Linked DNA regions of Saccharomyces cerevisiae S288C. Changing the gene in region 3 together with the main gene of any one other region gives a genetic interaction. Each region holds a gene or a part of one and is shown on either strand. Other genes may lie near its edges.

Evidence for each region.
Region 1: mutations in CSG2 (region 3) and SEI1 together harm fitness more than expected from each alone (negative genetic interaction), as found in Saccharomyces cerevisiae (3 studies listed by BioGRID).
Region 2: mutations in CSG2 (region 3) and ACS2 together harm fitness more than expected from each alone (negative genetic interaction), as found in Saccharomyces cerevisiae (3 studies listed by BioGRID).
Region 4: mutations in CSG2 (region 3) and ERG10 together harm fitness more than expected from each alone (negative genetic interaction), as found in Saccharomyces cerevisiae (3 studies listed by BioGRID).

The regions. Positions count from the first base shown.
Region 1 is NC_001144.5:924,046-931,981, reverse strand, and holds SEI1 (seipin), read right to left. Parts: upstream 3,240-7,936; coding exon 2,382-3,239; downstream 1-2,381. Other genes in the region: 60S ribosomal protein eL31 RPL31B, read left to right, coding at 227-283, 633-917; DUS4 (tRNA dihydrouridine synthase), read right to left, coding at 1,090-2,193; zinc-coordinating transcription factor SFP1, read right to left, coding at 4,363-6,414; tRNA dihydrouridine synthase DUS3, read left to right, coding at 7,534-7,936. UniProt on the Saccharomyces cerevisiae protein: Involved in lipid metabolism and lipid droplet (LD) morphology, number, and size. Facilitates initiation of LD formation, and ensures that vectorial budding of LDs from the ER is directed towards the cytoplasm.
Region 2 is NC_001144.5:442,243-449,472, forward strand, and holds ACS2 (acetate--CoA ligase ACS2), read right to left. Parts: upstream 5,334-7,230; coding exon 3,282-5,333; downstream 1-3,281. Other genes in the region: PCD1 (8-oxo-dGTP diphosphatase), read right to left, coding at 1-495; YLR152C (uncharacterized protein), read right to left, coding at 716-2,446; RNH203 (Rnh203p), read right to left, coding at 5,740-6,072. UniProt on the Saccharomyces cerevisiae protein: Catalyzes the production of acetyl-CoA. Provides the acetyl-CoA source for histone acetylation in the nucleus. 'Anaerobic' isozyme of acetyl-coenzyme A synthetase, which is required for growth on fermentable carbon sources such as glucose.
Region 3 is NC_001134.8:308,462-316,787, forward strand, and holds CSG2 (mannosylinositol phosphorylceramide synthase regulatory subunit), read right to left. Parts: upstream 1,853-8,326; coding exon 620-1,852; downstream 1-619. Other genes in the region: Cu-binding protein SCO1, read right to left, coding at 2,104-2,991; chitin synthase CHS2, read left to right, coding at 3,437-6,328; ATP3 (F1F0 ATP synthase subunit gamma), read left to right, coding at 7,114-8,049. UniProt on the Saccharomyces cerevisiae protein: Required for calcium regulation. May regulate calcium accumulation by a non-vacuole organelle. Also regulates the activity of CSH1 and SUR1 during mannosyl phosphorylinositol ceramide synthesis.
Region 4 is NC_001148.4:495,732-503,923, forward strand, and holds ERG10 (acetyl-CoA C-acetyltransferase), read left to right. Parts: upstream 1-2,364; coding exon 2,365-3,561; downstream 3,562-8,192. Other genes in the region: ATP-dependent RNA helicase SUV3, read left to right, coding at 1-1,988; SMA1 (Sma1p), read left to right, coding at 3,934-4,671; putative serine/threonine protein kinase SKS1, read right to left, coding at 4,944-6,452; RMI1 (Rmi1p), read left to right, coding at 7,786-8,192. UniProt on the Saccharomyces cerevisiae protein: Acetyl-CoA acetyltransferase; part of the first module of ergosterol biosynthesis pathway that includes the early steps of the pathway, conserved across all eukaryotes, and which results in the formation of mevalonate from acetyl-coenzyme A (acetyl-CoA).

The DNA.
Region 1 (7,936 bases), on a different chromosome or scaffold from region 3:
TTGGCACTTCAAATGCCAACTGGAAGGGCGCGAAACCGAGGGTAATGCGACAGAGGGCACTGACGTTGTTTCGTAACCTTGTAAGCTCTTTCTGATGGTAGTGCTTCATGTACATGTTTACTCTATTATTTGACCAGTCTCATTGTTGATAGGTTCCTTAGTTTTACATAGTCTTGGGTCTTAGTATATTTCAATTGCACGAGCAGATAATCCAAAGTACTTGAAAATGGCCGGTTTAAAAGACGTTGTCACTCGTGAATACACCATCAACTTGCACAAAAGAGTATGTCGAAATTAGCGTTGTCTTTACGTGGGAAATTATTGAAAGCCAACAAGCGATATTGTGGTGAAATACCAAGCGAAATCTATACGGGTGAAATTTCATTTTCCAATGATTGACCCCAGGTTTTAATTCGGAATATTAGAGGTTATTATATGGAATGCGTGATGCAAGGACTGGAAGGTTCTTCTTCGGTACTGCATTTCTCTGTGTTCTGCGATCGATATCCGTACCTCACGTTTACACTATAATGGCGCTTGGGCCGATGTTTTTGGCGTGATGCTTTAGTTCCACCTTCTTATAACAACTTTTTTTTTACTAACAGACCAATCTTGAATTGATATTAATATAGCTACATGGTGTCAGTTTCAAAAAGAGAGCTCCAAGAGCTGTGAAGGAAATCAAGAAATTCGCCAAATTACACATGGGTACTGAAGATGTCCGTCTAGCCCCAGAATTGAACCAAGCTATCTGGAAAAGAGGTGTTAAGGGTGTTGAATACAGATTGAGATTGAGAATCTCCAGAAAGAGAAACGAAGAAGAAGATGCCAAGAACCCATTGTTTTCCTACGTCGAACCAGTTTTGGTTGCCTCTGCTAAGGGTCTACAAACCGTTGTCGTTGAAGAAGATGCTTAAATTGTAAAAAAAAAAAAATAATGTCCATCTTATAAGCATTTTATTTCTTTTAGGTTATATTATTACACAAACAGAGCTGCTTTCGGGGTACGAGTATACGCTCTTGAATGATAGGAAAATATATACAATTTCAGTACCACAGTTTATTAGATTTTTGTAATTCAAAATTTATTCATTCTTGTCTCTCAACCACTGAGGCGCTCCTCTGCACACAGCTATTAGCTTTATAAGGAATTTCAACGCCCATGCCAAATCCATCCTCGCCGTAACGCTTGAACTCAAAGGTTTTATTAAACCAGTCGATCAGACTAATGTAATTTTTAAGATTCATCATTTTCTTTAACAGAGATTTCTTCAACTCCATATTTTCAAGCATACAGTACAGATGGTGCTGAGCCAATTGAAAAGGCAAGCCACCAAACTCTAGAGCCCAATAACAAAACTTCTCAATGCAGCCCCAAGGGCAGGTAGTATATCCAGCAAATAACGCTGGATTGCTTAACAACCCACGCACAGCCATGACACCATGTGCACCAGTGTATTTGGTGATTCTTTCCAAATCGGATAACTTAAAACAATCCCCATTCGCTATTACAGGCACATTTTTGTCGCTGATGTTCTCGATGATATATTTTATCGCATCCAGGTTAGCCGGCTGCGATGACCTAGTTCTACGTGTTCGGCCATGAATCGTAATCCAATCTACCCCAGCATCACATAGCTTTCTACATAACTCCACCGTCTCGTCCAATGCCTCATGTATTCTTATTTTCGTTTCAATTCTTAGTTTGTCGCCATACTTATCTTTCACAGCATGGACCATACTGCATAACAAATCTGAATTGTATATCAGAGCGCAACCTATGCCCTCTCGGATTTGTTCCTTTATAGGACAACCACAGTTAATACCAATACCATCACAGTATGGGGCAACCATTTCCACAAATTTTAGTAAATCAGCCACGTTATTTACACCTACTTGGACGATTAGCGGGGTGTCCTCATTATTTGTAGAAAGGTCTGAGATTCTTGCATGCTCATTACGGACATATTCTCTTGCCAAAATCATGGGGGAGTAAACTATATCAACGTTATATTCTCGGCACAACTGACGGAATGGTAACTTGGAATACCGAACCATTGGGCCTGCAATGGTCACGGGCCGACCATGTGTCTTTTGCCTCGTCTTTATTATATGCAGTGGATCTGTTTCTTCAGTAATAAGCTTCGGCTTCGGTATCAGAACATCACCGGATGGAATATGCATTGTGTGCATTTTCTTTAGAATCTTTATTCTGCATATGAATTATAACTTTGAAGAATCCATCTCTTATTTTCATTTTGAGTTTTTTCGCTGATCATCTTTTTTTTATTCAGGGCGAAGAAGCAGAATGCTGGAAGAGCCTACTTACTTAGAAAATAACAGCTAGGTTTTAAAATTATATAGCGAGAAGTACAATTCTATCAGCTATGTTTCTTGGATTTTTCCTGACCCTTTCTAACAAAAATGAATGCAGTGCAACCTGTGATAAAAAAAAGTACACATATTATGCAATGGAAAATTGAAATGCCAATAATATAAGATAAAAATCTTTTTCGAAGCATCAAGTTTCTTAATCCCTGCTCAAAATTCATCCTAAACTTAATCCCACTTTCTGGATGTATTATTAGATTTCTTTGGGCAATCTCCGTTTTCAAGAACACCGAGATTGTTTCATATGAAGACTCTAACGATATTTTGTCCTCTATTCTTATTGTATTTAGCCATTCTTCATCGTAAACGTCTAGACGTGATGGGCCTAGTTGTTCGATCTCCTGAGGCGACATGGAATCCGTCAGTGCGAGGCAGACAATAGGTCTAGAAGTGTGAAAGATTTTTTCATCTTTGCTGTTACTTCCTCCAGGAGCACCCAATAGCGGGCCTGGACCTCTGTAAACATCAATTAACAAATTGTCTAAATTTAAATGGTCAGTTTTGCTCTGGCAATAAAGCTGTAGGTTTAGATCGAGCTTGTATTCCATGTTGTCACGCATGGGGATTAACTGTGATAAGCCATTGTCTATTGTTTGCGGCAGATCTGTACCTACCGGAATGCTTTTAATAGATTGGAAGAATTTTGTACCAAATTGTACGCCATTTAAAATGTTGAACGTATTAAGGGGGACTACGTTAGAGGAATCGGCAGGTAATAGTCTTAGGTAAAAATCGTGATATATTAAGATCGATAAAGGAAGAATGATTAGCAATTGTATCAGAAATGCAACAACAATATATGAACTCCATTGTAAAAACTGTAATGGACGGGATACATTGATTTTCATCCTTCCTATTCACTTTATCTTATTTTCTTGAAACCTTGGATTCACATTTTGATAATTTGCCGTAAGCTGTCTCTATTTTTCTGTCTTACGCGCATTTATATTTTTAATAACCTTACGTTGAGATTTTCAAATTATACACATAGTAGCAACTAATGATGAGGTAGTTATACTTAACTTTCAAAAGAGCGACTCTAGTATTAGATGAACAATTAGGTTGCTTTATATGGATGACGAAAAGTCTTATTTACAAAATAACTCTCAATAAATGTTTCTTGACCATATGGCTTGGTGTTGTCAACTTTCTAGATAATACTTATCAGCGTGATTGGATTGTAGGTTTGGGAGGAAGGTTGCTTTTTAAGTTACTTATAGTATATTATTATTGATATTGAATTAATTTACTTTCATAAGTGTATAAAATAAAAGTTCAACATTACTAACAAAACTATAATATTTTCTCAACCAATTATTAACCTGTGATAGTTGCGCTGTAATTCCAGTCTAATTAATATGCTTCGTAAGATTAATTGTAATATTTAAGTAATCTTTTAATGGTTCAATAAGATAGTTTCTGCCTAGAAAAACGATCCGACAACGTGCATGGTAATTCACTTACAAATACACAGAATTGCAGATAAAAAACGGAACCTTTTATTTAAGATTTAGAGCATGAATAAGAAGAATTAAAGTTTCTTTTCTTAGAATAAAAATAGTTTTTAATACATCAGAACAGAAGGAAGTAAGTAAAGCCAAAATATATATAGTAAAAACACAGTAGTAAAAAATGAATAGTAAAAAACACACAACAATAATACTAAAAGGAGAGACCAGACAGAGCGCAAATCGTTTTCATGACGGAGTATTTAGAGGAAATGATGACAAAACAAGAAAATGTTATTCTATTATAAGTTCATTTTTCAATAATAGATATGCTTTTTATTTTTTGAAATTAATGGTAACAGTCGAAGAGCACAGCTTTATCATGCATTTTCGTTCAAAGATGATCACATAAATTGCGCCCAACAACAAGAGAAAGAGCGGCCGCTCGATGCATGAGTCGGTAACGGTAGAATTAGTATCTAAATAGCATACTAAATCAATTCAGTAAAGAAACAATTATATCTTAGTGAGTGGAGTGGCCCCTGTGATATTTTAAACCGTTCAAGTTCTTATATCTCTTACCACAAACTTCACAACGGTATGGTTTATCCTTTGCAGAGCCCATTCCATCACCAAAAGAATCTGTCGAATCTGGATCTATTACGCTAAATGTACCGTCAGGGTTTTCATGTAATTTTTGATTCTGATGTCCGTGCAACCTATGGTACTTCAAACCGTTTTGGTTTTTATAAGTCTTTTCACAACCAATAACTGGACACTTAAAGGGTTTTTGTTCCTCATGATCCATTACATAGAGCCTTCTCGCAGGATCGTCTATATAAGCTTGCTGAGGCATCTTGTAATTGTTGTTATGAACTGATTTTCCATTGGAACTGGAGCCATTTTCTGTGTCATCGTCATCGTCATCGTCATCGTCATCATCAACATCATCGTCATCATCAATGTCATCAATGTCTTGATCCTCGACCATGTTTTGAGAAGATTTTGCGTGTACGGAAGAATGAAAAGTATTGTAGTTGTGAGAACCTGTAGTTGGATTTACGACAGAGTTCATGGAATTGTGGTTACTAGGGCCCAAAATATCATCATCCATAAAACTTAAATCTATATCTTGGACAAGTACCAGAGGTGATAAATCGGTTTGATGAGGATCAATTTTTCTTGATTGATGTTGAATAGGATTCCTGGACGTTTTGTTCAAGGAATAGTTATTAAAAGTATGTGGACGATTCACCATGGCGTTTTTACTACCCATGTTAATATTAGAATTGTGTGAGGTATTATTATTGATATTGATACCACTATTATTGTTACTGTTAATTTGTTTATTGTGCGGAACGTGTCTTGATGGAGAATTGCTCGTTCTTAAAAACACATCATTCGTTGAAACGGCATCGACTAGATTACCATTCAGATGTAGTTGTTGAGAGTGATTAGCCATAGATAAGCCCGAGTTGGGGGCACCCGTTATAGATATCACATTTGGATTTGCAGTTGTGGACGACGCAGTTGCTGAACCCATTACACTCGGTGTGGGTACAGCCCCTGATGTATGATTTACAGAATTCGATTGCAACTGTTGTTGTATTATATTCTGCTGATGGTGAGGATGCTGAGATTGTCGTATTGTGGAGTTGGAATCCATGTTGCTCTGAAGATTGGCATGCATATTATTAATGGAGGTGTTATTAGTTGCATTGCTGCTATGAGCCTGCATAGTATTAGTCTTATGACCTGCATTTTTTGTATTAGCGGCCATGTTATTCTGCAGGTTATAGTTGGCAGAAGAGGTATTATTTGTCATACGAACTGATGAACTAGTGTTACCAGCAGAGTTCATCGGTATTTGTGACATATTGGTAGTGTTAGGAGACGTGGATATATGAGCTTCTTCGTAATGTCTCAGCAAATCATGCAAACCTGGTAAGGAAAGACCACAGCATGAATAATCTTTACAATATTGCTTTTCTAGATTTGGCAGATAAGCAGTGTAGGCTATCTGAGGAGAAATAGAATACCCTCTATGGTAAGGCGGATTACTAACAGAGGGTCTCTTAGTTGGTTGTTGAATCTGCAAAGTATTAGTGGCAGTAGTGGTTGCAGAAGCGGCAGCGGAGGCAGCACCGTTTGCTGATGCAGGTACAATACTATTTCTACGGCTAATAATTTCATCTCTTAACCAAGAACCAACACTAATGGATCCCCATGAAACACCACCCATCCCTTGAGAATGGGCTATTGATTCTCTCCGTAACTTGGCAATGTCCTGTGGAGTTAGTAGCGTTTGGTCCATTATATTTGGAGAGTACAAATGAACATTATTTGTATTATTCATGATATTTTTTTGGTGAATATTATTGACGCCGTTAAAATCTGTGTTTTTTCCATTAGAAGAATCCGAATTGTTATTTATCAAAATGGAAGGAGTATTCTGGTTCGAATCAATATCAATATTAAAGTTTGATGACGAATTTATAGATGCATGTGCCGATGTAGCCGTCGTAGTAGTACTAGTAGCCATATTGCTTGCCATAGTCATTGTTGTAAAATCCATACTCAGATAAGCTTTTCCTGTTTCGAAGAAAAATAAAAATACTGAATATGAATATGTCTTTTAATAACAATAAATTTGAAAACGCCTTACAAGTGAAATCTTGAGGTGATTAATAGTAGGTGAATCCAGAGAAAGTGTTTCGAGGATATAATATGGTATCAGAAAGCCAAAAGACGACCGGTATATTATAAACTTAGTATGAATGTATCGTGGCGCTTTTTTCTCCTAGCTTTATTCTTCTTGCTTTCTCGCTCTAAATATGATATTGCGATAAAAGGAAGTAGTTTAACTCACCGTAAAATCGATCAATATTAGAAAAACAGAAAACCACCAGAGAGAAGCACCGATATGTAATTGAAGTAGAAAAAAAATCTAGCTTTCCTTCTCTTTATAAGCGAACTTAATGATTAGATTGACTAGCGCTATCCTTCTTTGATTGTAATATTTGTCAAACCTTGTTAACGGAGCCACTAGAATGTACAAGACGTTATATAGGGATGACAGGTAGAAAAGAGATAGGGCCTGGGAGGTAAAATGCGTACGTTAGCCTAGAGAGCTTTAAATCGGTGACGATGCGAAAGCAAATGATAATGGCAATAGCGGTGGCAGGCGACAGTGGCAAGTGACAATGGCTGATAGTGACGTTATTTGATACAAAATCGCCTTTTAACGAATGCATCGCCCATTTGTTCCAAATTTCAATTGATTCGAAATTGCTCCTTATTATGTAACTGACAAAATCCTGTCCCCTTGCACGACGTAGGCGCGTTTTGTTTCTTTTTCCTACCGCAGACCACCTTGCGCACGGGAACGCCGCACTGTTTGGCACCCAGTCACCGCCCGTACCGTCGTTCCACAGAACATGCCGCAGAAACCTGTCGGGTAATAGTACACGGGATGAAGAGACTTAATGCCGACAAGCCGGGTAGGGGAATTGTAGCTCCGAAAAGCGACGGAAAGTTCAATATACAGAAAGCCCGTGCACCATTTTTGAAAAGTTTCATAAGATCTAGTTAAAGTTATGAAGAATTTAGTTCGAATGTGTAGTGATGAGATGAGCAGTAATGAAACATTAATGAACTCAGAATAGGAAAAAAAGGCAACTTCTAAACATTATTGATGGAGCAAAACGCTGAAAAACGCTCTATTGTTGGCGACGACAACTCAACCGTGAAGAGACAAGACACTTCCCCGTCCAAAGGTATTGCACATATCAAACCAGAATATATTGTACCATTGAAGCAGAATGAAAACCAGAAGGTCGCCATCTATGATGAAGAGATGTCTTCCGACAGAATGACAAACGAGTTTGCAGGTGGGACTAATAAGAAAAATAAGAACGGAAGAGGTAAGAAGCGTGGGCAAAACAAGAATAGAGATAACAGGCAGGTCAAGGAACAGAATGTCTTGTGCCCACGCTTGATCCATGGCGATATATCTAAATGCTCCTTTGGTGATAACTGTAGGTTTGTTCACGATATCAATCTGTACCTTTCAACAAAAAAGCCTGAAGTTGAAAGTA
Region 2 (7,230 bases), on a different chromosome or scaffold from region 3:
CAGCTTACCAAAAAACTTACGGATATCTAAGGGAACTTTGTATTTATCCTCATGTTTTTCTAATTTATCTTTGTAAAGAAAACAGACCATTGGCTTAACACTTAAAAATGTTCTTGATAAATAGCATGGCATATCCATGACCAAATTGTCTAATTTCATTCCGAACTCCTTATGCAAGACCTCAGGATCATGCGGTAACCCAATCTCCTCTTCAGCTTCTCTTCTGGCTACGCTTTCAAAGGTTTCTTGAAAATAATCAGCTTTACCTCCAGGAAATGAAACATCACCTGAGAAGCTTCTCAATGTTCTTGAACGTTTAGTTAAAAGCACTCGTAGTTCGCCTTTCATTCCAATGAATAATAGTATTATTACCGCCGAATTTCTTTTGAAAGGCCATATTGAGCTCCGAGTATATGGTGTTTTATGAAATTTGTATCTTATCAAGTTCTCTATTAGTTGCTTTGAACTCAGCATCCTCCTCTGACTTAATATCATTACAGCTTTTCTGTTACATGTGTGATTCTCTTCAAATCTACAATATTATTATTGAATTGTTATAAATATACTTACGCGGATCCCCCCCCACAACCCTACCCCAAAAAATAAATACAACGAATAAATACGCGATTGGAATTCATCGCTACTTTTGAAAAAACAGAATATATAAGTTGATAATAAGCTACTCTTGTATATACCTATTCGCCTAGGGATATAATCAAACTTTTAAATCGACCTTTAAGGTATATGTAACAACAAACGCCACAGTGATGAAAAGAATCGCATACTGCATGACAAATAAGACGGACAAACAGTTCATTTGAATGTGATCACCACATGCTGGCGTATAAAATGCTGTGAAATATACTTGAGCAGTAGCACTCGGCATGGACCACGTTAATATCATGTCAAATTTTCCTATGCCCGTATCCAGCCAATCGATCGAATATAGTTTATTTACCCATAGGACGCCAATAATAGGAATGACAATTAATCGAAAGCATGTCATCAATAAGGCGGATTTAATAAATCCAGGTGGCAATGACTTAATTTCTAATCTTGCCAACGTTCCGCCAAGTAATAGAAGCCCCAATGGAACACATGCATTTCCAATATACTCTGTAAAATCCATTAAAAAATTCAGAACAGGTTCTCCATCAGGCGCCTTATGAACGTGAACATATGTCGTTACGAAGCATGCTTTAACCCAGGGAATTAATGCACATATTATTCCTAGTATTGCCCCCAGAGATGCTGGCCTGAGGCAATTTATAATAAAGTACTGCAACCATTTGAGATTGTGTCTCTCTATAAAGAAGGAGAGGCTACCCCTCCCGTCGGTGGCCATATTAGTGCAATTTTCTTCTTCGATGGAACTTTCATCGGTATAACCAGTGTGCACATTACCAATACTTGCGTTCCTGCTTCCAACTTCTTCAGTCAAGGATAGTGGTCTTGATAAATCTAATTCACCTTGCCTTATTTTTTCGGCGGCACTGTATTTGGAAATCAACTCATTCATATCCGCTTTCCTTTTTCTTCTATAACTTCTGCCATCGCTATTTTTTGATATACGACTATATGAGAGGGAACTGCCATCTATTCGCGAGAACTCCAATGCGCCTGGGCTTGAATAAGTCGAGGAAACCCTATATATTTCAGCATGCGGAAGGTCACTTTCAAATTTATGGGATGCACCATTTGATTCTTTATAGGGTTTGATGTAGCCAGTAAAACCTTCGTAGAATGCCTGCGGTGTCATTTCATTTGTAGTAATAGAGTTACAAGACAAATCGCTATTACTTCTCGCATCTTCCGATTGATAGGCATTTGTAGGACGTGTGATATTAGGTAACTTTGTTATTTCAGTAAGTTTGCGATCGTCGATAGCGGGACTTACTGACGGAGTAATATTCTCACTATCTGGTTCTTTTGTATCTCTAAAATCAAGTCCGACCACTCTCCACATTCCAAAATTCATCATTAGGAAACTTTGAATAAATAAAAAAATGCAGGAATAAGCAACACCTTTATCAGCTTCTTCAGCAGTAAAAATGGAGCCGTTACCCATGCTCTGAATATAGGCAATAGGTAAATCTGATATATTTGGAAAGAAACCCGCAAATATGAGCCCCCAGAAGAATTTTTTGGGCACAGTCGTAGCAAATGTAGTAAATAAGGCGCCCGTGGCACCTAAAACAAACAAGATAAAAGCTGAAAGTATTATCACTCCAATCTCCTTTATATCCCTCCATGAAATATTGGACACAATTTTGTTGAAGGTCAAACAAGGCAAAATAGCGTTAACAACCATATTTGATATACCTTTCGCATTTTCCATGGAAACAATATCGAACTTAGCTACCAAATAGCCAACAAGCATAATGGTGTAAATTTTAAATATAGGTTTTAATGCAATGTAAATAGCGGCACCCAGAGAAAGGGACATCTTGGTTCATTTATTGTAGTACTAGAAAATCGTTTCCACCATATAAAAATGATAGACCTTGATCAGACACATGTAGAATTACCGATAGAAGAAATACTATATGAGTACTGTAACTTGTTTTACCTCTTATACGTTACACACTTTGATGTAAATATGACTCACCTTATGTACCAGACATTGACCCAAAAATACAGATATACAAAAGGTGAAAAAAGATATAGTAGTTCCTCGACGTATGCCTACGGGGAAAACAATATAGATGGAATTCTATAACACCGACAGTGATGTTTCTCCTGAAATTTGTGCCAAATAGCGCCGCGGAAAGTCGGCACATTTTGCAACATGGACTTCGGAGGTCTGATATCATCCCGTAACCTTCTCGTAATGCATCAGATTCTGGTCATGCTTGTTCAATATACATCCTACGTGCACAACGAACAATAGCTTTCTCGGTATCTTATTCGATTATCCCCGAAGTTTCTTGAAACGGCAATATCCTTTTACCCTATCCCGGGCGAAGAACCCCGTCACAGTGCATTACTTTATTCCCACTATAGGGATAACAGGGGCGATTGTGTACGAATAACTAGATTGTATTTAGATAACTAAGATATATGATAAGTGCGTAAAAATGGATATATCTATACATATATATCACTAAGTGCATAAAGTCTTTGTATTTTCGCTTTCCTAGCTGACCAGTAAAAGATCTTGTTTTTTAACTGATGGATAAATAGTAATTTATAACTGAATAGAGCAAAAGTTGGGAAAATAGAAAATAGAAAACAGAAAAGGAGCGAAATTTTATCTCATTACGAAATTTTTCTCATTTAAGTTATTTCTTTTTTTGAGAGAAAAATTGGTTCTCTACAGCAGAAATGATGGCAGGTACAACTTCTGGGTTGGCCAAAGTAGTTAGGTCACCTAGCTGTTCGGCTTCGTTAGAAGCAACCTTTCTTAGAACTCTTCTCATAATCTTTCCTGACCTTGTTCTTGGTAGATCTCTAACTAGAATAATGGTTTTTGGTGAGGCGAAAGGACCAATCTCACCCCTAACTTGTAAGATCAATTCTCTACGTAAATTATCTGGTGTGATGTGTTCTGCATCACCTTCAGTAGCGTTGTTTTGTAGATAACCATCTTTTAGGGAAACATATGCAACGACGGTTTGACCGGTCAATTCATCTGGAATACCGACAACAGCAGCTTCCGAGACGTTTTCGTGATTTGAGATAGATGCTTCAATTTCTGATGTGGATAATCTATGACCGGAAACATTTACAACGTCGTCAACTCTACCCCTGATCCAGTAGTAACCATCATGATCTCTACCAGCACCATCACCTGTGAAATAGTGACCAGGATAAGGTTTCAAGTAAGTATCCATGTAACGGTCGTGGTGGTTCCAAACAGATCTAGCCATTGATGGCCATGGTGATTTAACGGCAAGGACACCTTCGACATCATTACCTTCTAATTCCACACCTGTAACAGGGTCAATGATACAAGCGTTAATACCAAAGAATGGCACGGTAGCAGAACCAGGTTTTGTTGGGACAGCACCTGCCAAAGGAGCAATTAAATGAGAACCAGACTCTGTTTGCCACATAGTGTCACAAATGACACAGTTTTTGTTACCCACTTTTTCATGATACCATTCCCATAAGTCTGGAGAGATTGGTTCACCGACGGAACCCAAGACACGTAATGAGGAAGTGTCATATTTGGCAATTTCGGCTTCACCTACACGTTTGATTAATCTTAAAGCAGTTGGAGCCACATAGAAATGGGTAGCCTTGTGACGTTGGATAATTCTCCAATATCTACCATAATCTGGGTAGGCAGGAGTGGATTCGAAAATTATTGAGGCGGTACCCAAGGTTAATGGACCATATAGAGCATAGGTGTGACCCGTGATCCAGCCGACGTCACCGGCAGTGAAGAGAACATCTTCTGGGTGAATATCAAAAACGTATCTAGTTGTTAAAGCGGCACCTAATAAATAACCACCTGTAGTGTGAACGACACCCTTTGGAGAACCAGTGGAACCGGAAGTGTATAATAAAAATAGAGGATCTTCAGCGTCACATGAAACAGGAGGTAGGTAAGTTCTCTGCTTAGCGGCCTCCTCATGCCACCAGTAATCTCTACCGGCCTTCATTGGAATACCTTCAGTACCAGTTCTTTGGAAAACCAAGATACGGGAAACCAAATCGACTCCGTTCAAACCTTCGTCAACAATTTTTTTAGTGTTGATGGTCTTACCACCTCTTTTACCTTCATCACAAGTGATGACCACTTTAGAATTAGCGTCAACGACACGATCTTTCAACGAACCAGCGGAGAACCCAGCAAAGACAACAGAGTGAATAGCACCAATACGAGCCACAGCCAACATAGCAATGACCGCTTCTGGAATCATTGGCAAATAGATAGCCACTGTGTCACCTTTCTTAACGCCCCAGCTTTTTAAGACACCAGCGATTTGGGAAACTTTTCTGAGTAATTCACCAAATGTGATGATTTTGTTGTCGGATTCGTCATCAGCTTCATAGATCAAAGCTGGCTTGTCGGGATTAGCAAAGGCATGTCTGTCAACACAATTGTATGATGCATTCAATTTACCGTTCAAAAACCATGCAACATCACCATTGTTCAATGAACCAGATTGAACTTTGGTGTATGGAGCATCCCAATGCAAGTATTCCTTAGCCATCTTATCAAAGAATTTTTCTGGCTCATTGATAGATTGTTGATACATTTCTTGATAATGTTGCATATCAGTAACGTAACCCTTGCCGGGTTGGCTGTTGTAAAAATGTTGAGGAGCCTTAAGAGCCTTTACGTTGTGAGCTTCATAAACTACTTTATGTTCCTTGATTGTCATATTTTATTATTGTATTGATTTACTTTCCTGTATTCTGTTTGTGTATAACAATCACTAACCGCGGAGACACACAATTCGGAATTCGAATACTATATATATATATATTTTAAGGTAGAGGTATATATAAGGTTTGATCAGGCTAAACGTGCGGTGCGATATCGTTGCTAAAATTCAGAACACTGTTTTCAATCTCGAAGTAAAAAACGATAAAAATTATCAACAAAACCAGTGACGAAGAAGTTCAGTCACGAAACTTTTTTGCCTCGTTCAAAAAAAAAAAGCCAGCGGAATCGGCTACCGAATATCGGCAATAACGCTTCGGCCCCGGGAAACGCATATGAATAATTTTAAGTTAGTTTTATGCTATACAGCGGGTGGCTACGTGTAATGTATTTAATGTTTATATTTACTGATTTATGACATCGATGAGGGAGATCAATTCTTGCAATCGCGCCAATTCGTTGCGATCAGTGCCCTCTCTTTCGTAATTATTCACTGAAACTATCTTGCCAGTTATTGTGTTTCCCGAGAGGATGGCGCCATTACTGAAGGTATTACTAGTTGTGTTATCGCTACTGGAAGGCGTCGCAGACTTTTCCCTCTTCAGTTCCTTGCCACGAAAGTAAATAGTATCTTCGAATTTGTAATCCTTAAACTCTTCGGTTGGTCCTTGATACTCGGTATAGAAAGGCATGAAGCTCACGGTGTAAGCATCTAGATTCACGGCATCTTTGGTCATTGCGTATTTGACCTACTTACTGTATTAGTACACACTTGTATTTTCGGGCCTTGATGGTTTTGTTTCACTGCTTGTTTGCAATTGGTTGTTGTTCCTAACGCGTTTTGTCATTTTTCGATGAAGGTCGAACGGAAAGAACTAAAAAAGACTAGGGGAATGGAATGCGGAATAGCAGTGCATATTTCAGGATGAATGGAAAAACACATCTGCAGCAACAATGAAAAACCTTAGTGGATTTAAACTTCTCACAGGAAATATCGATCAAAGCAATGGGCTAGCCAAATAAAAAAAAAACTGTAGGCACAAAAAGCAGCATACGTCATTCGCAAAAAAGAAGGTCCTACCCGGATTCGAACCGGGGTTGTCCGGATCAAAACCGAAAGTGATAACCACTACACTATAGGACCGGAACTTCTTGATGATACGAACGATTAAAATTGTTGACGTTCTCTTCTTTTTTTCATATTTGAGTAGATCTGATGCGCAATGTCTATACAACCTGGCAGACAATTGTCTAAATAATATTTTGTAGGAATAAGAGTCCACTATCGTCTATCAACTAGTAGTCACACTACCAATATATTATCATATACGGTGTTAAGATGATGGCATAAGGTATGAGAAACTGTCATCGAAGCTGAAATGCAAGGATTGATAGTGTAATAGGATAATGAAACATATAAAACGAAAAGAGAAATAATCATAACATTATTTCCTAGAGTAGCGATTCCCCTTCGCGTATTCTTACATCTTCGAAGAGAACTTCTGGTGTAAGTATAATAAATATTATAGCTCTATCGAATGGTGCAATTATTTACCAAATTCTCAATAGGAATCCATAATACTACATACGATACTAATATTCTAGTATTTTTATACTTATTATTTCTTTTTTATTACACCAGCAATCGTTGCAAATTATCTTCTGATAGAATTTCTGAGGGTATCCTAAACTTATGCCATTTTCTTGGACTGTAAATCATACTTGGATGTTGTGCATTAGTCAATAATCGGTTCTTGTTCCAACGATTACATGTAAATGAAGGGAGAAATAATTATGGTAAATCATGCGGCGGTCCTTTTGGTGATGCAGTATCCATAGTCACTACATAACAATCTTAGTCACCTTGTATTGATTCACCACATAATCCTGCAGAG
Region 3 (8,326 bases):
ATACGAGTAGGTAAATAAGCCAAAAGGCAAGGGTGTCCTTTCTTAAGCATCGGTTAGGTTTGCGGGCGATCAGTAACTGAACAATGACACAAGATCAAGAACGTAATTTGAGATTTTTCAAGATGGTTTTTTTAGGTATCTATTAAAACTACTTTGATGATCAATACGGTATTTTTGTCGCATTATTTTCCAAGCGGAAGGAACCGTGTGTTCATTTTATGAATCTTGGTGTTGTATTCACAGCTACTTCTCCTAATGCCTTCGATGCATTTAGATAATTTTTGGAAACATTTTTTTTCTTGATGTATATTTTTTGTATTGTAGAAATCGCGCGTACTGTACTTGTATATCGCTTTATAAGCGCTTTTAATTGATTGTTCATGACGAGGATAGGCGGATAGGCGGAGGTATGCCTCTTAATATTTATAATAAAGCCCACCAAATGGCTTCTTCTTTTTAGAATATACAATATACAAATAAAAATAAAAAAATAGAAGAACATCCTAGTAATTGTCTTGAAAATAATCAAGATATTGATTGGGATTTTTTATTTAGGGAAACCAAATAATTGCATATGCTTGTTACATCATCATCAGTCATATAAAGTATGTTGTCCGTACTAATGGTGGTATTTACCTTCCCCGAGTGTTACTGATAGGACCAACAAACTTACCGTTAGCATTATGTATCCTATGACTTCCCATCTCACAATTGTGGTTTGCGTAGGTTCGCAAACCCACTCAGCTAACCCCATAAAGATAATAGCTCCCAGGTTGCACGTCGTCAAATACTCAGCAGGGGCCTTGCGATTCAACTCTAATATCGAAATCAAGCTCGGCAAGGAACCAAAGATAATCGAGCCTAGTAGAGAGAACCAAAAGCTCTTGTCATTATAGAACAACGAAATGGATTCCACAGACTCACGGGAGGGAAATTTAGGAATAAATGGCAAAAGTATTACCATGCCAATAATACCGATTAGGGCCATGTGGGTGCTCTGCTTAACCAAGACTACAGCAGAATTTTCGTTCTTGGAAATGTTACTGCAAAACCAACGGTTCCATAACACGGCAAAAGGACCCATAATCAAAGCACCAAGGCCGCAAATCAGAGCACCTTTCAACCTATCAAACAAGAATGGGTCAGAAAGTTCACCCGTGTTAGGGTTGACGGACAGCTTTCCGGCAAGCATGTCACAGGTAGCCTTCGTGTATGAGATGATCAAAATTCCAATGACCGCGTTCATCATGATGAGGAAATTACGGAAAACGTAGTTCTTCCTGGAGATTCCACAAACACCATATAGTAAAGTGACAATTTCGAAAATGGCAGTATTTTGCATCAAAGCAACATCAAATGCCGGTGACAATGACAAAGCCATGTTATAAGTCAAATCAGCGACAATCATTATGAGAGCCAGCACTGTTAGCTTAGCCACATATTTGAAGGTAGCCACGGATATGATTTTTTGCTTCTGCTGTTGGGCTGGAATCCGTGGTTGAGGATCATCCAACACGTGCGAGAACGTATCGACATCTTCGTTTGTCACAGACCCGCTGTTGTTGTTGTCAAACTGAGAATTCCTGTTCGAGTCTGAGTCAGAGACAAACATCGGTCTCATCTTCTCCCAAAGTCGAGATGCAGGCACCAAGAGCAGCCACGAAGCAAAATACATAAAGGTCAGATAGAAGGTTAATGAACTTGAGTTTCCGTTGTCGCCGTTAGTTTCAGGCGTTGCAATTGTACCATTGGGCCCCACGGAGATTTCCTTTTTAGATTGTATGTTAGACAAACATTTTGTTTGAATCACGTAGCCTATTACACTTGAAAACCAAAGTAGTGTGGTAGACATGACGCTGTATCTTTGTTTGTTATCGTGCTAACTCACCAGCTCAAGAGCGGATCTGTTCTGGAAGAAAATGGCCTACAAACATTTCTTTCACTTGATCTTCCCACGTTCACATAGCCTCCTTTAGAGTGAGAGAGCTTTTTTTTTTCTTGCGATACACCTTCGCCGGGTGATAGCCGATATTACAAGAACGGGTTATAGCGTTATAAGTATATATGTATATACAAGGAAGAAAGTAGCATATATTTACAATCTTATTTGAATAAGAAGGAGTACCATGCCTCCTTCTGCTTGGCGCGCTGCTCTGCAGGCACATAACTCTTAACGTGTTCCACGATCTTGTCCACGCCCGTTTTTTCATCATAATTTCTACCCAAAGCATCAACAAACTGTCCTTCAGGGTCCATGAGATAAAAGAAGATGGAATGGTCTACCAAATAATCTTGGCCCGGTTTGACGTTTGGAGGCGTAGAAAAGTATACTCTGTACTTCTTGCATGCGTTCTTCACCTCATCGAACGTCCCCGTCAAACCCAGGATGGAGGGATGAAAGTCGCTCAAATACTCTTTCAATACAGCAGGGGAGTCTCTTGCTGGATCACAAGTTATAAATAATGGCTGCAGAGTAATACCATACTTTGAAGAGAGTGTATTAAGCCATAGACCTAGCTTATCCAGTTCATCAGGACAGATGTCAGGACAGTTACTAAACCCAAAGTATATTATAGAAAACTTACCGAGAAGGTTTTTCTCCGTAAACTCATTGCCATACATATCCTCCAGATGGAAGGGTCCCCCAAGTGAAGGTTTACCGTATCCTCTGTTTGCTTCAGCCTCCTTCTGTGTTTCCAATCTGCGTTTCTCCCTGTTGAAGAAATAAGAAAGTGCCCCACCGACTGCTAGGAATAGAGCAATGGCCTTTCCCGTGGAAAACTCGATCGAGCCTTCTCGCACTTTGCCGTTATCCTTAATGGGAGTACCGCCCACAGGTACTCTGCTTAATGGTTTCTTGCCATTTGACTGCCATAAGCGCGTTACAGTAAAGAATCCCCTTTGAGTGAGCAATTTAGCGCCATTGCCACTTAATCTTGCGGCTGGCAATTGGACCAATCTTAGATTGGCACTTCTTGACAACTTCAGCATCTTTTCTACGTTTGCTGTTTTTTCTGTTTCCCTTGCCTTATACGAACATACGTTTCTAATGCCGATTATAAACACAATAGACACAATTATACTATTTTCTCACTTTTCTCTTCGGGAGATCGCTATTGATTATTATTCCCGTTTATTTCCTTCAATTTAGGGTCTGAAAAGAAGATAGTAGGGTTAGTTTTTTGGGGTTTAAAACCCTAGTATAAACCCCTATACTATTTGTTTATATATTTCCTATTTGAGTATGATAGCATCGATATTGAAATTTACAGAACTTCAATTTAGTTTCAATTGGGAATTCGAGGACTCTCCCTTGGGATGGCCCCAGTCTATTTAACTATCTTCCATAATATTACTGTTGATTTCGTGACTCAGAAGAGAAAACAGAGGAAGTTACATATAGACCCAAATAAAAACCAAAGAACCACATATAGAAATGACGAGAAACCCGTTTATGGTGGAACCTTCGAATGGCTCTCCTAATAGACGTGGTGCTTCAAACCTCTCCAAATTTTACGCAAACGCTAACAGCAACTCTCGGTGGGCTAATCCCAGTGAGGAGAGTTTGGAGGATAGCTATGACCAATCTAACGTTTTCCAAGGCCTTCCGGCATCTCCTTCGAGAGCTGCACTAAGATACTCCCCAGACCGTCGCCATAGAACTCAATTTTACCGCGATAGTGCCCATAACTCTCCAGTTGCTCCGAACAGGTATGCTGCTAATCTACAAGAGTCTCCCAAAAGAGCAGGCGAGGCTGTCATACATCTAAGTGAGGGGAGTAACCTTTACCCCCGCGATAATGCAGATCTACCGGTAGACCCCTACCATCTATCACCCCAGCAACAGCCCAGTAACAATCTGTTTGGAAGTGGCAGATTGTATTCTCAAAGCTCGAAATACACGATGTCTACTACTTCCACAACGGCTCCCTCTCTGGCAGAAGCAGACGATGAAAAGGAAAAATACCTCACTTCGACTACTTCCTATGATGATCAGTCTACAATTTTCTCTGCAGACACTTTCAATGAAACAAAATTTGAACTGAACCATCCAACAAGACAGCAGTATGTAAGACGTGCCAATTCTGAGAGTAAGAGAAGAATGGTCTCAGACTTGCCTCCCCCAAGCAAGAAGAAGGCACTATTGAAACTAGACAACCCGATACCAAAAGGTCTGTTGGATACTTTGCCTCGTAGGAACTCCCCTGAGTTTACGGAAATGAGATATACAGCCTGCACTGTGGAACCTGACGATTTTTTGAGAGAAGGTTACACTTTGAGATTCGCAGAGATGAACAGAGAATGTCAAATTGCCATTTGTATTACCATGTACAATGAAGATAAATATTCATTGGCAAGAACCATCCACTCCATTATGAAGAATGTTGCTCATCTTTGTAAGCGTGAAAAATCTCATGTTTGGGGCCCCAATGGCTGGAAGAAAGTCTCTGTAATTCTGATTAGTGACGGTAGAGCAAAAGTCAACCAAGGGTCTCTCGACTATTTAGCTGCTTTGGGTGTTTATCAAGAAGATATGGCCAAGGCGTCTGTGAATGGTGATCCGGTAAAAGCGCACATTTTTGAATTGACAACTCAGGTCTCTATCAACGCCGATCTGGATTATGTTTCAAAGGACATTGTTCCTGTGCAATTGGTTTTTTGTCTAAAAGAAGAAAATAAGAAAAAGATCAATTCCCATCGTTGGCTATTCAACGCGTTTTGTCCCGTTTTGCAACCTACTGTAGTTACTTTGGTTGATGTCGGTACACGTTTAAACAATACAGCAATTTACAGGTTATGGAAGGTTTTTGATATGGATTCAAATGTGGCTGGTGCGGCTGGTCAGATTAAGACTATGAAGGGGAAGTGGGGACTGAAACTTTTCAATCCATTAGTTGCATCGCAAAATTTTGAATATAAGATCTCGAATATTTTAGATAAACCATTAGAAAGTGTTTTTGGTTATATCTCTGTTCTTCCTGGTGCCCTGTCCGCATATAGGTATAGAGCCTTAAAAAATCATGAAGATGGCACTGGCCCTCTCAGATCGTATTTCCTTGGTGAAACTCAAGAAGGCAGAGACCATGATGTTTTCACTGCAAATATGTACTTGGCTGAAGATAGAATTCTTTGTTGGGAATTGGTCGCCAAGCGAGATGCAAAATGGGTTCTAAAATATGTTAAGGAAGCCACTGGTGAAACGGATGTTCCCGAAGACGTTTCTGAATTTATTTCTCAAAGAAGACGTTGGTTAAATGGTGCAATGTTTGCCGCAATTTATGCTCAATTGCATTTCTACCAAATTTGGAAAACTAAACATTCTGTTGTACGCAAGTTCTTTCTTCATGTTGAATTCCTTTATCAATTTATTCAGATGCTTTTTTCCTGGTTTTCTATTGCAAATTTCGTTCTTACCTTTTATTATTTAGCAGGATCAATGAATTTAGTTATTAAACATGGTGAGGCCTTATTCATTTTTTTTAAATACCTGATCTTTTGTGACTTGGCAAGTTTATTCATTATTTCCATGGGTAATAGACCCCAGGGCGCGAAACATTTATTCATTACCTCCATGGTTATACTGTCTATATGTGCCACATATTCTCTAATTTGTGGGTTTGTTTTTGCTTTCAAGTCGTTAGCTTCTGGAACGGAATCCCACAAAATATTTGTCGACATCGTTATCTCATTGCTCTCCACCTATGGCCTATACTTTTTCTCATCACTGATGTACCTAGATCCTTGGCACATGTTTACATCATCCATACAATACTTTTTGACACTTCCCGCCTTTACGTGTACTTTACAGATTTTTGCCTTCTGTAATACACACGACGTTTCCTGGGGTACTAAAGGTTCCACACAGGAGTCCAAGCAATTGTCCAAGGCCATTGTCGTTCAAGGTCCAGATGGGAAACAGATTGTGGAAACAGATTGGCCTCAGGAAGTTGATAAGAAGTTTTTGGAAATAAAAAGTCGTTTGAAAGAACCAGAATTTGAAGAATCAAGCGGCAATGAAAAACAATCCAAGAATGATTATTATAGAGATATAAGAACCAGAATTGTGATGATTTGGATGCTATCAAATCTAATACTGATCATGTCTATAATTCAAGTCTTTACACCACAAGATACTGACAATGGTTATTTGATATTCATTTTATGGTCTGTGGCCGCTTTAGCTGCCTTTAGGGTGGTTGGTTCCATGGCCTTTTTGTTCATGAAATACTTGCGTATAATAGTGAGTTACAGAAATAAAGTTGAAGGTAGCGGCTCATGGGAAGTCTCTAAATTAGACTTACCAAATGTTTTCCACAAAAAGGGCTAATGCCAGTATTTTTCAGCTAATTTCTCGTCATTCCCTCTTTTTTCTCATTCTGTTTTAGAATGTACAGGTTATGACAACCATTACCTTCTAGGATATTTTGACATTTCTCTCTTAGACTTTTTATATATAATATACATGTTTCAATACCAAATATAATGTAGCATAACATAATCTATCTTTTTACTCATAGACCTTTACTTTCCTCTCTAAAAGCCGTGTCGCAGTAACTGGTGACGCTAAAGTTCTCCGGCGTTTTTTTATGTATGAGCTGGGCATCAAGAGCTTTTGAGATTTTCCAAGTAGTAACTCATCTTTCTGAGTGTGCTATCAAATACATACTAAGGAGAATAAACTCTTGTTATTACGTATTCTTCATCCTTATGGGTAGAGAGCGCACTGTTTTAGTACATTTTCTAGACGTCGAAACGTAGAGCAATTGTCGATAAAACAAAAAAAAAGTAAGAAGATATATGAATAGGAGCTGTCGCTAGAACTAGTAAGTATATGATGGAGATATAATAAGTGAATTATTCGATATTTAATGAACGTTCTCATTTATTTGGAAGAAATGTTTATCACGTGATGGAGAACCAATGAGCGGCGAGTAACTACGCGAGGAACCCGGACCGCAATAACGATTAAAGAAGGCCCGGAAGGGAGATGCTTAAATGATTATCACTCAGTTAAAAAAGACAAATAAGAAACTATTGAGACTGAACCGTTTTGGTTAATTTCAGGTGGAAACAATTGAAGACGAGCAGTAAACATTATTTTATTTAGTAGTCATGTTGTCAAGAATTGTATCAAACAATGCAACACGCTCCGTAATGTGCCACCAAGCGCAAGTGGGTATTCTTTATAAGACTAACCCAGTGAGAACTTATGCTACTTTGAAAGAAGTGGAAATGCGTTTGAAATCTATCAAAAATATTGAGAAGATCACAAAAACTATGAAGATTGTTGCATCTACAAGATTGAGTAAAGCTGAAAAGGCTAAAATTTCCGCAAAGAAGATGGATGAAGCAGAGCAGTTGTTTTACAAGAACGCCGAAACCAAAAATTTGGATGTTGAGGCTACTGAAACAGGTGCTCCTAAAGAGTTGATTGTTGCTATCACCTCTGATAAGGGGTTGTGTGGTTCTATCCACTCTCAATTGGCTAAAGCTGTGAGAAGACATTTGAATGATCAACCAAACGCCGATATAGTCACTATTGGTGATAAAATTAAAATGCAGCTATTGAGAACCCATCCTAACAACATTAAATTGTCTATTAATGGAATTGGTAAAGATGCCCCAACTTTCCAAGAATCTGCTTTGATTGCCGATAAGTTATTGAGTGTCATGAAGGCCGGCACTTACCCAAAGATTTCCATTTTCTACAATGACCCAGTGTCTTCCCTATCTTTTGAACCATCTGAAAAACCGATCTTTAACGCCAAGACCATTGAACAATCCCCATCATTCGGCAAATTTGAGATCGACACGGACGCAAACGTTCCAAGAGATTTGTTTGAATATACTTTGGCTAACCAAATGTTGACAGCAATGGCTCAAGGTTATGCTGCTGAAATTTCCGCCAGAAGAAACGCTATGGATAACGCTTCCAAGAATGCCGGTGATATGATCAATCGTTACTCTATCTTGTACAACAGAACAAGACAAGCTGTCATTACTAATGAACTGGTTGATATTATTACTGGTGCTTCCTCTTTGGGATGATAAAAAAATCACCCTGCATTGCCTCTTTATTTGACGTTGTTTTTGTAGAACATGAAACGAATTTTGACTTGATGAGACGAAGTATATATCCAAAGAATACCTTAAATAGAAAAGGAAAGATAATAAATACTAAACACTACTATATATTCAGGTAAAATACAAAAATTATAACATTTTTAAAACTTTTTTTTTTTGAAAGTCCTTCTCGCTTTAGGATTTTTTCCCATTAAGATTATGATGGTTTCATGTATGTGTCAGTTAAAAAAAATATGGCTAA
Region 4 (8,192 bases), on a different chromosome or scaffold from region 3:
ATTTACAGGATTCATCATTTAAAGATAACCTTGATAAAGCGATGCAATTTATCTATAACGATAAATTGTCATCCTTGGATGCCAAGCAAGTACCAATAAAGAATCTTGCTTGGTTGAAATTAAGAGATTACATATATCAACAACTAAAAGATCCGAAACTGCAAGCCAAAACCTATGTACCTTCGGTAAGTGAGATCATACATCCTTCATCTCCTGGCAATTTGATTTCGTTGCTGATAAATTGCAATAAAATCAGCAATTTAGTCTGGAAATCTGTTCTCAAATATAGCCTGAGTAACAATATAACTACATTGGATAAATTTATCCACGTCCTGCAACAGACCTTCGACCATGTGTACGAGCAGGAGATACTACCCATGATGACGAATACAGATGATACAGATGGCGCTCACAACGTTGACATAACAAATCCAGCAGAGTGGTTTCCGGAGGCAAGAAAGATTAGAAGACATATAATCATGCACATTGGGCCCACGAATTCAGGCAAAACTTATAGAGCGTTACAGAAATTGAAATCCGTGGACCGTGGGTACTACGCAGGGCCGTTAAGACTGCTAGCAAGGGAAGTGTACGATAGATTTCATGCAGAAAAGATAAGATGCAATTTACTGACTGGAGAGGAAGTTATTCGTGATTTGGATGATAGAGGAAATTCAGCAGGGCTGACATCAGGCACAGTAGAAATGGTGCCAATAAATCAAAAATTTGACGTTGTTGTTCTTGATGAAATTCAAATGATGTCTGATGGGGATCGTGGCTGGGCTTGGACGAACGCGCTTTTAGGTGTCGTTTCCAAGGAGGTCCATCTTTGTGGTGAAAAGAGTGTTCTACCTTTGGTTAAGAGCATTGTTAAAATGACTGGCGATAAATTAACGATTAATGAATATGAGAGGTTAGGAAAGTTAAGTGTTGAAGAAAAACCTATCAAAGATGGCATCAAAGGTTTGCGCAAAGGAGATTGCGTCGTTGCGTTTTCAAAGAAGAAAATATTGGATCTCAAGCTAAAGATAGAGAAAGACACCAATTTGAAAGTTGCTGTAATTTATGGCTCTTTGCCGCCTGAAACACGTGTTCAACAAGCCGCCCTATTCAACAATGGAGAGTATGACATAATGGTAGCATCAGACGCTATTGGTATGGGTTTAAACCTGTCTATTGACAGAGTTGTATTCACGACAAATATGAAATATAATGGTGAAGAACTAATGGAAATGACTTCTTCTCAAATCAAACAAATAGGTGGTCGTGCGGGAAGGTTCAAATCTAGATCTGCCTCCGGGGGTGTTCCTCAGGGTTTTATCACCAGTTTCGAATCAAAAGTTTTGAAAAGTGTAAGAAAAGCTATTGAAGCACCTGTGGAGTATTTAAAAACTGCGGTTACATGGCCTACAGATGAAATATGTGCTCAACTAATGACACAATTCCCACCAGGAACGCCGACCAGTGTCCTGCTGCAGACTATTTCAGATGAGCTAGAGAAAAGTTCTGACAACCTGTTCACGTTATCTGATTTAAAGAGCAAACTGAAAGTTATTGGCTTATTCGAGCACATGGAAGATATCCCATTTTTCGACAAGCTGAAACTAAGCAATGCGCCCGTGAAGGACATGCCTATGGTCACAAAGGCGTTCACCAAATTTTGCGAAACAATAGCAAAAAGGCATACAAGAGGCCTACTGTCATACCGATTACCTTTTAACCTACTGGACTACAATTGCATACCGAATGAGAGTTATTCATTAGAGGTTTATGAGTCATTGTACAACATCATTACTCTATACTTCTGGCTCAGCAACAGGTACCCAAACTACTTCATTGACATGGAATCTGCTAAAGATTTGAAGTATTTCTGTGAGATGATTATTTTCGAGAAACTTGATCGATTAAAGAAGAATCCTTACGCACATAAGCCCTTTGGTTCTACAAGAGGTCACCTCTCATCTTCGAGAAGAAGATTGCGTACATAATCTACGATATATCCTGTAAATAGAAACAGCTACACTGCTTGAAAGCCTTAACATGATACATTTCTGGTATGATGCCATTGTTGTGCCCTGCCGGGTTTATCGTTTCCTAACAGGCACGTCACTTATAACGAGGTGCCTGTCGTTTACCGCCCAAGCCGGTTTTTTCGCTGGAGAGTACGGTACTACTAGCCCACCACACGTTCGTGGCCAGGTTGATAGGCCACCGTTGAGCAAAGGGCAGTAAAATATATAAAAGAGGAACAAGCGCTTCCATTAAGAGCACTGCTAAGCCTACTCGTTTTCTAGTTCTCTGAAAAAAGGTAGCCTAAAACAAGCGCCATATCATATATATTTATACAGATTAGACGTACTCAAAATGTCTCAGAACGTTTACATTGTATCGACTGCCAGAACCCCAATTGGTTCATTCCAGGGTTCTCTATCCTCCAAGACAGCAGTGGAATTGGGTGCTGTTGCTTTAAAAGGCGCCTTGGCTAAGGTTCCAGAATTGGATGCATCCAAGGATTTTGACGAAATTATTTTTGGTAACGTTCTTTCTGCCAATTTGGGCCAAGCTCCGGCCAGACAAGTTGCTTTGGCTGCCGGTTTGAGTAATCATATCGTTGCAAGCACAGTTAACAAGGTCTGTGCATCCGCTATGAAGGCAATCATTTTGGGTGCTCAATCCATCAAATGTGGTAATGCTGATGTTGTCGTAGCTGGTGGTTGTGAATCTATGACTAACGCACCATACTACATGCCAGCAGCCCGTGCGGGTGCCAAATTTGGCCAAACTGTTCTTGTTGATGGTGTCGAAAGAGATGGGTTGAACGATGCGTACGATGGTCTAGCCATGGGTGTACACGCAGAAAAGTGTGCCCGTGATTGGGATATTACTAGAGAACAACAAGACAATTTTGCCATCGAATCCTACCAAAAATCTCAAAAATCTCAAAAGGAAGGTAAATTCGACAATGAAATTGTACCTGTTACCATTAAGGGATTTAGAGGTAAGCCTGATACTCAAGTCACGAAGGACGAGGAACCTGCTAGATTACACGTTGAAAAATTGAGATCTGCAAGGACTGTTTTCCAAAAAGAAAACGGTACTGTTACTGCCGCTAACGCTTCTCCAATCAACGATGGTGCTGCAGCCGTCATCTTGGTTTCCGAAAAAGTTTTGAAGGAAAAGAATTTGAAGCCTTTGGCTATTATCAAAGGTTGGGGTGAGGCCGCTCATCAACCAGCTGATTTTACATGGGCTCCATCTCTTGCAGTTCCAAAGGCTTTGAAACATGCTGGCATCGAAGACATCAATTCTGTTGATTACTTTGAATTCAATGAAGCCTTTTCGGTTGTCGGTTTGGTGAACACTAAGATTTTGAAGCTAGACCCATCTAAGGTTAATGTATATGGTGGTGCTGTTGCTCTAGGTCACCCATTGGGTTGTTCTGGTGCTAGAGTGGTTGTTACACTGCTATCCATCTTACAGCAAGAAGGAGGTAAGATCGGTGTTGCCGCCATTTGTAATGGTGGTGGTGGTGCTTCCTCTATTGTCATTGAAAAGATATGATTACGTTCTGCGATTTTCTCATGATCTTTTTCATAAAATACATAAATATATAAATGGCTTTATGTATAACAGGCATAATTTAAAGTTTTATTTGCGATTCATCGTTTTTCAGGTACTCAAACGCTGAGGTGTGCCTTTTGACTTACTTTTCCGCCTTGGCAAGCTGGCCGGGTGATACTTGCACAAGTTCCACTAATTACTGACATTTGTGGTATTAACTCGTTTGACTGCTCTACAATTGTAGGATGTTAATCAATGTCTTGGCTGCCTTCATTCTCTTCAGGCTCTATTAATTTTAACCGTTATAAGTTCCTTTTCTCCCTTGGAAGCAAACATCAACTGCCTTAAAATCTGGTGGCGAGGAAAGAGGAAATGGCATGTACTAATGATGGTCCTAATAAATATCCCGAAATTGTGAGTGTTAAGCACCTGTTCCAACATTCGGGATCCAAGCATGAATTTAGTGCTGGTAAACGATTTTCAAAATCCATTGGTAAAATATTCAAACGAAACTCTGCTTTGAAAACTTCTAGAACTGAAACGGCAAATCATAAAATGGAATTGAAAAAAAGAGAGGGTGTTACCTTATTGCCACCTGTCCCAGAATCATTATTACATAAACTCAATTCTTGGTTGGAAACTTTTTCTTCCACCAAGAACATGAAAATCGAAGAAAACAAAATTGTTATTAATGAAAAAGAGATTCGGGATTCAGTCTCTTACTACCCTGATAAGAATGGAGGAAGTGCTGTATTTTGTTACTTGCCCGACCTTGTGCTATATTATAAGCCGCCTATAAAAGTCACAGGCAAGCAATGTCCAATAAAGAGAAGTCCTTGGGAATCGATGGAAATCCAATATCAAAAGTTTATGTACCCCTTAGAAAGGTTGGAAAGACAGTTTGAGGAAGTTCCATTTAGGCCCTGGTATTTTGCAATGCGATTAAAGGAACTTTACAGATGCTGTGAAAGGTCTTTTACTAACGCGGCAAATAGAGGAAAGGCAAGGTTATTGCGGGGGAAGCAAAGGACGAAAAAATCGTATCATAAGACTGTCAACCTGGTATCAGCGAAGATTTCCACCCATTCAAATGCGCCGTCGCCGGGCTGAGAAACAAAAAAAGTGACTAAGTTCTGTCATTCTATCATTATTGTAATTAGTTATGTAGGACATATATATCCATAGTGATCTCCTTTTGATCAAAGAAGACACTGAAAAGTCGTAAGTTCGTAAAAAAAGTATGAAAATCGTTCCAGCCATTGCTTATAGCCATCCTAGTAGGATACTAGAAAAAAAACAAACCTCAAAGATAAAAAGAAAAGGTGAAGCTATTACCGAATTAGAACATAAGATAATACAGTGAGTATAAAGGTGAGACCTGCTCAATAATCTGGTAACCATTTCTCGTTTGGACCGTCTGTTAAAGTAGAAAAATTCATTTGTAAGCATAATAGCCTATTTCTTAATGTATCTTGTTGGAATTTGCAATCTTTGGAAGCACTAACGTCATCGATATCAGATTGGTAAGGTGTACTGTCCATTGAGGAAGTTAAAAAGGTACTATTATTGTGGTTGTTAGTGTATTCATACTTTTCCATACTTCCGTCACTATTATACGTTGATGGAATATCACTCTCCGGTTCAGCATCTTCCTCTTCTTGCTGCTGTTGTGCTTGTTCCTGGTTTTGTATTTGTTCTTGTTTTTGTTCCTGTTCTTGTTCTTGGACTTGCTGTTGTTGTTGTTGCTGTTGTTGTTGTTGTTCTTGGTCTGCAGAAAAATGTGATAAATCGCTCAAAAATAGGTTTTCATTCCTTATAATATGCGTCATGTAAACTTCGCTCGATAGGATTGGAACTTGAGACAAGGGCCCTTCCCTGGTGAAAGAAGTAAGAGAGGAAACTTCGGACATCAAAGTTTTCATGTCTATTCTTGTGTATGGATTTAGTTGTAGAATTTTCGTCAACACTGTGAACAGCTCATCTGATATAGGAAGGATTTTCTTCAGGACATTATTATCGTTAGCAAAATGTTGAAATGTGTTATCCTCCTTCTGGTGAGCTTTTAACCATGGGTTTCTTATGCAAGTTAAATTAATTAGGATGATGCCTAGAGACCATATATCTCCTGTATCCGTAGGGAGGCTCGAACAGCATTCGTCGACGTGTATGCCGTTGGTGGTGGTATTCAAACAATACAATATTCTTTCTGGAGCCATATAATATGAACTGCCAACGCACACATTTGGAGCTAGATATTTAGATTTAGTGGAAAGCCCGAAATCGCAAAGATAAGCGTTGTCATTGCGATCCAGTAGGACATTTTCAGGTTTGATATCACAATGATATATACCGAGACGATGACAGTGATCTAATGCGGAGCAAAGCTGCAGAAAAACTTTCTTAATCAAAATACCATGATTTACAAAATGCTTATCGTCAACTATCGAGGTGAAAAGGTCCCTGTCGTAATAATCCATCACTATAAAAGTGGCAATAGAAGATTCTAAAACTTGGTGAATCTTCACGATATTGCCGTGAGACTGCACTCTTAGTTGGAAGGCAATCTCCCTGTAGTGTGGTAGCCTATTTAGTTCATTCTCAGTCAACTGTAATATCGAGTCTAGATCAACGGAAGGTAAGAACAATTTTTTTTGGAAACTTTTGAAAAAATGATACAGTTGCGTTTGCAGAAGAGTGGTTCGCGCCACTTGAGAGTTGTTGTTCAAACCGTTCTTATTATAAAACTCATCCATCGAGGAGGATTTGAAGACCGTTTTCACTGCATATTCACGGCTCGTCAGTATATCCACCACATGGAACACTAGTCCATACGCACCCGACCCTATTTGAGCCGTTATTCTGAAATTGTTCAGCAAGCAGTCTGACAGCATTTGTACACAAAATTTCTTGTCTGTGTTCTTATTTGATGTTTTCTTTTAAAGAGTTTTGTTTCCGCTAGGGCGATTTAAGTCAATAAGTAAATTTAACAATTTACTAAATATATTTTGTATAATATATAAGAATATACGCCTTAAGAATGTCCTCTCATGCGAAAAAGGTAGCAAGAGCATAAAAAGGAAAAAGAAAACGCTATAGTCATTTGTAGGCTCTTGTCTTTCTTCGTCTTCGTCCCGTGAGTGCGGACTCAGAAAACACCGCAATGATGTGGGTCCGGAATATCTATTGCACAGTTTTAGTAGGGTCACCGATATCGTTAAGGTTTGTGGTAGGAACAGAAGGTACTGCCGGCCCTGTATACTGCCCTTTTGTTCCGACCATTTCTTTTTTGCATTTGTCCCAAGATTCTCTCTCCCCACAAAATCTGCTCAAGTATCTGTCCAACGCGCTTTCTTCGGCTGATAGATAAGTTCCGATTTCGTGGGAAGCAAAAAAAAAAAAAAAAAGAAAAAAAGAGTCTGTCCGAGAAATGTCCCGGAAAACGTGGGTGTGCGGTGAGGAGATTGTACTTCCATCCCACATTCCTCGTGTTTGATTGGCTGCAAGCCACTTGATGCCTAGAAAAGAAACACCGCGTGGTGCATCTATGTCCATATCACGCGCGCTAAAACAGCATGTAGAGAGCGCGAGGGCGGCGTACTGCACCATTCTAATAGGAAATCCGGGATGAATGCCCTCTCCGGAAATACCTCCACTAAGCCTCAATGGAAAGTTGTTCCGCTCACGCGAACAGGTTTTTCCGGGGAGTCGAGAACTACAGTGACGTAAATACGACGACATCGCTAGAGCCAGCAGAAGCCTCCATACATTCAGACTAATTAGTTGACGGGCTTGAGCCAACTAGACATATTATGTAGGCACATATGCTCCAACCAATACATATGTGTACATAGAGTACAGCTCTTCCCAGCGCATCCGCTATCGTCCTCTTGACAGGTCCGGCTATTTATTATCCGCGGCATCCGCGGCCCAGCGCACAATAATAGATTACTTTGCAATGCAAGCGGTCTTGGCTGTTTGCTCTGAGGGTCCATCTTCGTTTATTTCTTTATTTACTAAATTAATTATGATACTGCACTCAGGACGGGCCAAGAAAGCATGTAGCGTGAAGAGAAACTAATTATTAAGAAAAAAGAAAAAAAAAAAAAAAAAAAAAAAGAAAAGGAAAAAGGAAAAAGATAAACCAATCATACAATCTTTACAGAAAGGGAGTACTGAGAAGAAGGCCAAAATACTGCAGAGCATACATACTACCGAGTGGATGGAATGTCTTTTTCATCTATCTTATCACAGGATATCACAGATGACATTACACCACCAGCGTATTCCGCCACCTTGGGGTCGAGAGAACAGATTGTTTTCAGAGCTTACCAAAATGAACCTTGGTTGGCTGGTACTGCTTCGAATCTTATCTTAGATAAAAAACTTGTTATTGTAGACAGAGAACTGTTGTTCCAGGTGTTGATGGTAGAGAATATCACCAAATCCAAGCTAACACAGATCGATGATATAAAAACCAAGCTGGATCCGAAAAAACAGAAAGTGGATAGACTACGATCAGGCGCGCAAGGAAATGGCGCTAAGAAGTACGAGGTCATCACTCAAGTGGACATGGAAGATGACGGGAATGTGGCGGATAACAACTGCGCCAAGGAAAATAATAGCAACAATAA